Linked DNA regions of Coturnix japonica. The protein of the gene in region 1 binds, or shares a complex with, the protein of each later gene. Links are inferred from orthologs where the notes say so. Each region holds a gene or a part of one and is shown on either strand. Other genes may lie near its edges. The genes, in order: LRRC7 and CAMK2A.

Region 1 (4,328 bases):
GCTCATCTGCTGGAAACAGCTTCCCTAGAGCATGTGCCTCTCCTTTCCCCAGCTGCTCAATCAGTGGTTCAGGCTGTGACTCTACAGTTCCCCTCCACAAGCAAATTCTGATAATGAAACAATGTAGAACAGCTTTTATCCCTTGAAAAGTGCATTTAATTCATATTTCCAAAGCAGTAGATACTCACAGAGGAGTTAGATTCCAAAGTACCTTTAGGATCTATGTAGCAAACCATAAGCACTGCACACACCAATAAGAAAAACAGGCAAAATCCAGCTCTTGCTCCCCAGATGGCTGAGAATTTTAAATCCCCTCCAAGCATCTCAGTACTTCTGAAAAACTGGGTTTGCGGATTGCATAAACCAAAGGACTTTTGAGGGGAGCATCAACACTAAAATACTTTTTTACATTTAAATGTTGCAAAGGAAAAGAGAACACCACAGGGTAGAAAAATCAGCAAATCTGCACATTAGATTGACATGCCTGCAGCCACACCAAGCCATGGTTACTCTCATCCCAGCTGAGAAGCCCAAGGGGGACATGAATGCATGGCTGACTTGCATACAGGCATCAGGTGCACGAGGCACAGAGCCCTGTGGGGACAGACCACGCTCCTCAGTCAGATCCAGCCACCAGCACCTCAGGGAGCTCCAGCTGGAGATGCCACCATCGACTTACAGACGTTTCTCTGTAATTTCTGGTCCCTGTACAGCCTGCGTGTGCTTACTCTGGAAGAACCACGCAGGGCTGCAGTAAGCAACTGATATTCAGTTACTTCTGTGCTTCAGCAAAGTGGGCTGGACCCCTCACCGAGCACACAGCCCCTGCAGAGCAAAGCAAGCAGCTCCTCCTGTGGAGCTGAGGTAGCAAGAAGTGCACCCAGCTGACCCCCTGCACCAAACTACACCGAGCAGCCACCATTTAATTAAGTCTTCAGCCAAATGACTAGGGAGAAAAAAAGCGCACGAATTTATGAATATATCATGATCCAGTATATAAAGAACCTTTGGCAGGATAATAAATAATATATGAAAGGCAAAGCAAAAGGGTTCTAATTTAGGATTACTTCAAAAAACACCCCGGGCCGTAAACCATCTGTATTAATTGCTTGAATCCAGAGCATTTCATGCCTTTGCTTGCAAAGACTCTATTTACAACTAGACCTTCAGATGCACACAGTATCAGTACTTAATCACTTCAAGCATAATAGCTGAAATAACTAGCAATATGTCATTTTCATACATGGTATCTTCAAAGCCTATTAAAAATAAAATAGATTTCCACTAAAGTTGCAGCCTTCTCCTAAGATGGTTGCAAGCACCAGGTTGTTAATTATAGATTAAACATTTTTACCAGCCTTTGAAATGGTACTTGGAACTAACCCCAATGAGCTGAGCTCTGAGCTCAGTGGGGCTGAAAATCCAGGGATCACACAACTTCATACCCACTGTTTGCACGTATTTAGTGCACCATAAAGGATCTCTTGCAAAAAGGCTCCCAGCACACATCGCCCTACAGTGGGACAACATTTGTTATATGACTATTTGTGACACTAACACTTACATTCTGTTAAGCTCAATTCTCCCATCCGCTTGAAAGATCTTTCAGTCTTTTAAAGCAGTTAATATTAATAAGAAAACGCCCCTTGTTTGTTGTTTCAGCTCCAAGAGTGTTTCGGTAACAATTTCATTTGAGCCAGCATTAGGAAGAGTTTACATTTAAGTTATAACATGAAAGAAACTCCTACAAGATCAGAGGCTGCATCACCGTAAAAACAAACAGCACTGAAGACTTCACGACTCCTCTTTACCACTCCTACAGAACATCACTGCGCTGTGGTGACCCACTACAGAACAGCTACTTAAAGCACATCCAGGAGGAACAGCACCCAGACAAGAGAAGGAACTGAGCAATGTTTATCCTACCTGGCCCAAGGGAAGGTGTACAGTCCTGGTGGTTAACATCAGGATGGCTGCTGCAATGACCTCGGCACCTTACCAACAAGAACCAGACACGAGAGCAGCTGTTAAGCTTTATGGTCTTATTACTTACTTCTGCTAATCAACACACCTGGGAGAGACCCCACTCTCAGCAGAGAGAACAGCTGCAGCTGGGACCCGAATTGTAGCACAGAAGACAGCTGAGCAACTCAAAGAGTGTGCATCCTTCAAGCCTCAAACACCTTCCTGCTTTTTGTTTCATTTCACTCGATATCAGGCAGGTTTATTTCGCACACTGTAAGCATAGAAACTGTCCCCTTAAACTCAAAACTTGAACGTTTGAAACTTGACGTGCATGAAAACCTAAAACCCAGGGGTTATTCTGGCCACCCCTCCCAGCCTCCTGCAGAGCAGGAGCAGCCCCTCAGCCCTTCCTTTCCTTGCCCTCTCTTCTTCTGAGCCCCCAGGTACAGCAGCCAGTTCTGACAGATCAGGAGGGCGTACTTCTCTCCTTTTTTTAACCTGGGAATTTAACTGAGTTGAAAGAAGAACATTCACAGATAACATGGGAGGTCCTCAGCACTCTTAGTACTGTGCTGTGTGGATACATCCATCTCAAGGACTCTTATGCTCAGCACGTAGCAGAGCAGCTAATACAGCACTGACTGTGCAGGGAGTCAGGTAATGAATAACAAAGGAAACTCACCCAGAGCAGTGATTCAATTTAGTCTGGAGTAACTGAGTATTGTCTTTGTCATTCAGTGCAATGGGTGAGAACGTGGAAAAGAGGAATAGAAGTGAATGAAGGCACGGGAAAATTGGAAGGTGCCTTTACAGTTAGAAAGTGCCTTTAGCAGAGGGACAGAGATGGAAATTAAACCTTGACTTGGATCCATGCAGTGCCCTGTTCCACAGTGCACACGTATTGCCTGTCCCTGCTCCTTAGGAGCTGCTGTTATCACCTGCAGCCTCCACCATCTACTCATTTATGCCTTAAAATCCCCTTCTATTCCAACTCAAGGGCAGGGATGGATGTTCATTCTGCCGCCCCTCGATGGCGGATCGCCCCGTCCCGCCCCTCAGCGCAGCCCCGCTCCATCCCGCCCGCAGGCCGCAGCCGTCCCGCTCCGGGCACGCGCCCGCCCTCTCGCCCAATCAGCGGCCGCGCAGCAAATTCAAACCGCGCGGCGGTTGGGCGCCCCCGGCGGAGCCATGGAGCGTCCGTCAGCGCCGGGTCCGTACCGAGCAACCGAGCTGGTGAGAGCGGGACGGGACGGGACGGGACGGGACGGGGCGGGACGGGACGGGGCGGGACGGGACGGGACGGGGGGCAGAGCAAGGCCCGCTGTGAGCCATGGCCCCGCTGTGAGCCAGGGGCCGGCGGGGGGACGGTCTGCGTTCATGGAGGCCTCTCTAAGCGAGGGTGACGCGCTCGGGGCTGTTGGCGGCACGGCAGCTGTGGGAAGGGCCCTGTGCAGCCGCCGCCTCCCCGCCCTGAGCACACAGAGCCTTCAGTCCGACCTAAATCTGCCCTTTTCTACATTAAACCCCCTCCCCGCCCTATCACAGCAGCCCCTGCTTCACGGCCCGCCCCCTTCCTCCTTACAGCCGCTCTGCAGATGCCGAGTGCTGCCTGCACGTCTCTATTAAGCGATGCATTGACACCGTTCCTATTTGTTACACTTCAGCCTGACTTTGCTCCCACCGCTTTGTTTTACTGCTGTTCACTGTTACCAACTTTCAGCTTTAACCTTCGTGTCTTTGTGTCCCCGCAGTGGAATGAGATCACCCGGTATTTCCGAGCCGGGATGCCGCTGCGCTCGCACCGGCAGCACCTGAAGAAGCACAGCAGCTGCTTCACCGCCTCCGAAGCTGCGGACTGGCTGCACCAGGTGCTGAGGAGCAGCAGCAGCTTCGGGCCCGAAGTGAGCAGGCAGCAGACGGTGCAACTGCTGAGGAAGTTCCTCAAGAATCACATCATTGAGGATATCAAAGGGCGGTGGGGGTCGGAAAGCTTGGAGGATAACGGGGCGCTCTACAGGTACTGACATGAACATCATTGATGTATGCTTTATATAACGATAATCAATGTTCTTAGGGGAAAAAATGAGCAATTTTAATTCCCTGAGTCTCCTCAGAATCTTATCACACCCTGCTGGTAAGGGATGGCTTCAGGTTGTGCTTTTCTTTATGTTCTAAACGCCTTTAATGTCTTTCCTATTAATTCCAGGTTTCCTTCAACCTCTCCAGTTAAACCTCTGCCGGCTTCATGTCGCCAAAGTGGGAACTTAGAAACCTCTAGAGATCGACTCCTGAAGCTGCCACATTTATCACGGAGAACTCCGAAAAAGCAGGAAGTGCTGACACCTCTGGTATAACACAGTTCT
Region 2 (3,647 bases), on another chromosome or scaffold:
ACTCCCAGGAGAGAAGGGAGGAAGGAGAGAGAGCATCCTGGTAACTCACCGAGGCGCAAATCTACTTACCCTCCTGGGAAGAGAAAACACCAGGACACTCTTACTCACCCATCCACGCATTCCCCTCCTCACCCAAGATGCACAGAAGCTGAATTTTGCAAATGGTTTAAAACCCAGGTTCCCCAGCCGAGGCTGCCGGGATGCATGAGCTCAGGGCAGTGGGCAGGGACCTTGATAGCAGCAAGGCAAAATCCACCGGCGTGTGGAGGGTGTGTGGCACAGAGCAGCTCCCCACAACCTCCTCTTCTTTGGGGAGATGCCATTTAGATGGAGGTGGATGAAGATTCCTGTCCCAATCCATGGGATGTATGGGACTGCAGGGGGGTCATGCAGCCCAGGGTGATGGCTTTTGCCCTGGTAGGCAACAAGTGCACAGGTGTAGGTTCATGGTTTTTCTTTTCTTCGTTCATGCAGAGGAAGGGGACCCGGTGAAAGGGGATGGAGATGGGATGCTTGTAGGTGCCGCTGAGGCCGTTGCATGTGTGCAGTGAGAAGCAAGGGGCTATTCCAGCAGGAACCAAGCAGCAGAGCCAACAGCCAAAGTCCTGTAGGTGAAGAGTTGGAGGGGTCTCCCCTGGCAGTCAGTCAGTGACAAACCCAGCACGGGCTGGACCGTGCTTCAGCTGCAAAACACCAACAAGCAGAGCAGGATGTTGCTTCAACCATCACTCCAGCAGAGAATCCCTCTCCCACTGCCCTCTCATGACCACAGACTATCCCCTCCCCACCACAGATCAGGATAGGACCCCACCCTCCCACCCCATGTGCCCCCAGTCGCAGTCCCTGGATGCTCACAGGGCTTACTGCGGTAGGACAGAGGGCGCGCCAGATCTGTGGAAGTGGACAATCTGCCATTTGCCATCCCGGCGGTGCCAGATGCGGGTCTCTTCAGACTGAGCAGTGCGGGGGATGCCCCCTGCGTCCACGTACTGCGTGATGCGGATGTAGGCGATGCAGGCAGACTCGTCTCCCATCAGGTGAATGTGGGGGTTCAGGATCGTCGTGTGCACAGGCTTACTATTCCGGGACCACACTGGAAAGGGGATAATTGGGGTGAACTGAGGCAGGGGAAGGACTTTGGGTGGCTCCTCAGTGTGGAAGGGGAGATCCTGGGGTTAGAAGACTGAGGACAGAATGGGCTCAGGATGGGTGAACCTAGGGAGCTAGGACAAGTCGTAATGGCCTCACGTTGCACCTGGTTGGATATTAGGAGAATTTCTTCTGCATTGATTCCAGTGCGTGATAATGCATTGGAATAGCCAATTGGAGCATTGGAGTCACCATTCCTGGAGGCGTGCAGTAAATATGGAGATGTGGCACTGAGAAACATGGTTGGTGGGCATGGTGGGCATGGGTTGGATTCTCTGACTCTAACCAAACAGCTCTTTGTTCACCAGCTGGGATTTTCCAGCCCAGCCCAAATGCTCCCAAGGCCACCTTCTGCCTCCTCTCTTCAGCAAGCTGCTGAAGGTAGGGACATAGCCAGCCATAGTGGAAGGTAGGAAGGGCTCCTCAGGAGGCAAGGGGCAGCTTACGGTTTTCAAAGTAGAACCGGTGGAAATCCAGGCCTTCCACGAGGTTCCCCAGAGCCTCAGGCTCGAAAGCAGTCATCCCAGGGTCACACATCTTCCTGGATATATGAAAGGGAGAGGGAAAGGAGAGATCATCTCATTGCTTCCAGCAAGACAGTCTATCTTCAAGCAGAAGCCTGGCCTGGCCCCACAGGAAGCCAACACACCCTTTGCTCCCAGCCCCACAACTTCAGCTGGGACCCCATTGACACAGGTCCCTCCATCACTCACCACCTCCCCTTAAACCTCCCTAAGTACTGCTGCCTTCTTTGTAAGAGATAAAACAGCAGGGAAAAATGAATTCTCTCTGCTCTGTATCAAAATATCCCTGCTGCTGTCCTCTGGGGCAGGGAAGCAGACCTGCACTCGCTCAGATGCACTAATTAAATAGGCCTTGGACACAGAAGAAGTGTGTTCTGAGGAGCTTCAGCCCAGCGAGTAGAGAGCAGTTCTGCTTCCAAGCAGCCTGAGGCAGTCTGGGTGTAATGATACCACAGATGTAATGTTCCTTCTTCCACCATAAATCACACTTGCAGTTATTCATCTTCCTGCAAGCCCAGAAAATGGGCACATCTGTGCTAACAAGATGTGGTCATCTCAGCATGAGAAAGCATGGGGTTGGGAAACCAGCGTCCCCTGTGTCTCTTGCATAGTGTCCACGTCCCTCTGTCACGTCACCCTGCCCTTGGCAGCAAAGCCCTTTGGCACTCGCAATGGGATGCTGGGCTCAGCCCAGAACAAAACACACTCACGTGTAGGACTCGAAGTCACCATTGCTTATTGCTTCAATCAGCTGTTCTGTCACCTTAATGATTTCTTGCTTCCGTACTGTTGGTTTAAAGAAAAATAAACATTTAAATCAAAAACACTGTTTTTGGTTTTTTTTTCGCTAAGACTATTGAAAAGACACATGAAAGCCATTCCTAATGTAAAGGAAGACTGTCCTGCACAGAGCATCACTGGGAACCCTTCCTTGGGAGGACACATACCCAACTAACACACATGGTCCTGTGTTGTGCTGAGATCGCTTAGTCAAGTGACTTTACAAATTGGCACCGATAAATTATTCCCTGCATTATTCTTAGAAAGCTGATTCTGGTGGGCAGGAAGGAGAGATTTCTCCTGGAGTCTGAGCCCTCTGAGGGACACTGGTCTCAAAGGAGCCCAGACCTCAGCAAGAATACAGGAAGGGATGGTATCATCCGTTTCCATTCTTGTGAGCCTCCCCTCCTCACCAGCAACATCCCAGATACTCCCAGTGGTGAAGCCACCTATGCTGGCAGTGTGCTACTAAGGAACCCCAAGGCACCGTGCTGACATTGGGCTTTCCCATAGCCAACACCCCATTAGGGGCTGCTAGGCTAATGGCCTTGGGGTATCCCAATTGGTGTACCCCCATTGGCGTACCTTTGGTGTCTTCATCCTCAATGGTGGTGTTGGTGCTCTCTGACGATTCCTGAGCAAAGAACAGACAGGAGACAGCACGGTGAGCCCAGTCTCCTCCCCATACCAGGAGGATCTTGTGTGTCTGACAGCCCCCCGAGTCCGACCCCACAGCTCTCGGCTGTGCGACTGGACGGCAGCCGAGGAAAACGCCGGCAGGTCCAACCCGTCCTCCACCACTGCTCGAGCACAGCAGCGCTGGCCGAGCCCCCCCGGCCGTGAGCCAAGGGAACGTGGACTGGGCTCGGGAGGGTCTTGCAGGCACGGCGCTGCCTGTCGTACCGATGCCTGCAGGGACACAGAGGTGGGGGCAGGTCCGGGGTGGCTCGGCAGGGTGCTAGGAGGGCATGGGAGGGGGCTGCGCAGGGGTGGAAGACACCATGTTGACTGTACGATAGAGAGAGATGTACAAATTAACAGCGAGGAGGAGCTGGGATGAGAAAGAGGGGACTGTGCAGGAGTGAGAGACCACACTGACCGCAGAGTAGGGAAAGAAATGTACAATACAACAGAGTGCTTCCAAGACCCACATGGACCACCGAAGGCTGAGACACAGCTCTTTCCATCAACAGC

The links.
Region 2: the proteins of LRRC7 (region 1) and CAMK2A are in contact, whole or in part, in a crystal structure (PDB 6X5G), measured with the Homo sapiens proteins. The link is inferred for Coturnix japonica from reciprocal best matches to the Homo sapiens genes LRRC7 and CAMK2A. Residues at the interface, in NP_001357714.1 of Homo sapiens: His843, Gly844, Arg845, Arg846, Pro847, Leu848, Ile849, Arg850, Gln851, Asp852, Arg853, Ile854, Val855; in NP_001350919.1 of Homo sapiens: Glu96, Phe98, Glu99, Ile101, Val102, Lys137, Glu139, Leu159, Phe173, Ala174, Gly175, Thr176, Pro177, Gly178, Tyr179, Leu180, Ile205, Gly209, Tyr210, Pro211, Pro212, Phe213, Trp214, Tyr222, Gln224, Pro233, Glu236.

The regions. Positions count from the first base shown.
Region 1 is NC_029523.1:25,948,180-25,952,507, reverse strand, and holds the start of LRRC7 (leucine-rich repeat-containing protein 7), read right to left. Parts: upstream 3,025-4,328; 5' UTR 2,648-3,024; intron 2,102-2,647; exon of another isoform or gene 1,995-2,101; 5' UTR 1,927-1,994; intron 1-1,926. Other genes in the region: DEPDC1 (DEP domain-containing protein 1A), read left to right, coding at 3,154-3,198, 3,717-3,982, 4,172-4,313.
Region 2 is NC_029528.1:4,858,753-4,862,399, forward strand, and holds part of CAMK2A (calcium/calmodulin-dependent protein kinase type II subunit alpha), read right to left. Parts: intron 3,088-3,647; coding exon 3,039-3,087; intron 2,460-3,038; coding exon 2,384-2,459; intron 1,691-2,383; coding exon 1,596-1,690; intron 1,094-1,595; coding exon 861-1,093; 3' UTR 856-860; intron 684-855; 3' UTR 1-683. UniProt on the Homo sapiens protein: Calcium/calmodulin-dependent protein kinase that functions autonomously after Ca(2+)/calmodulin-binding and autophosphorylation, and is involved in various processes, such as synaptic plasticity, neurotransmitter release and long-term potentiation.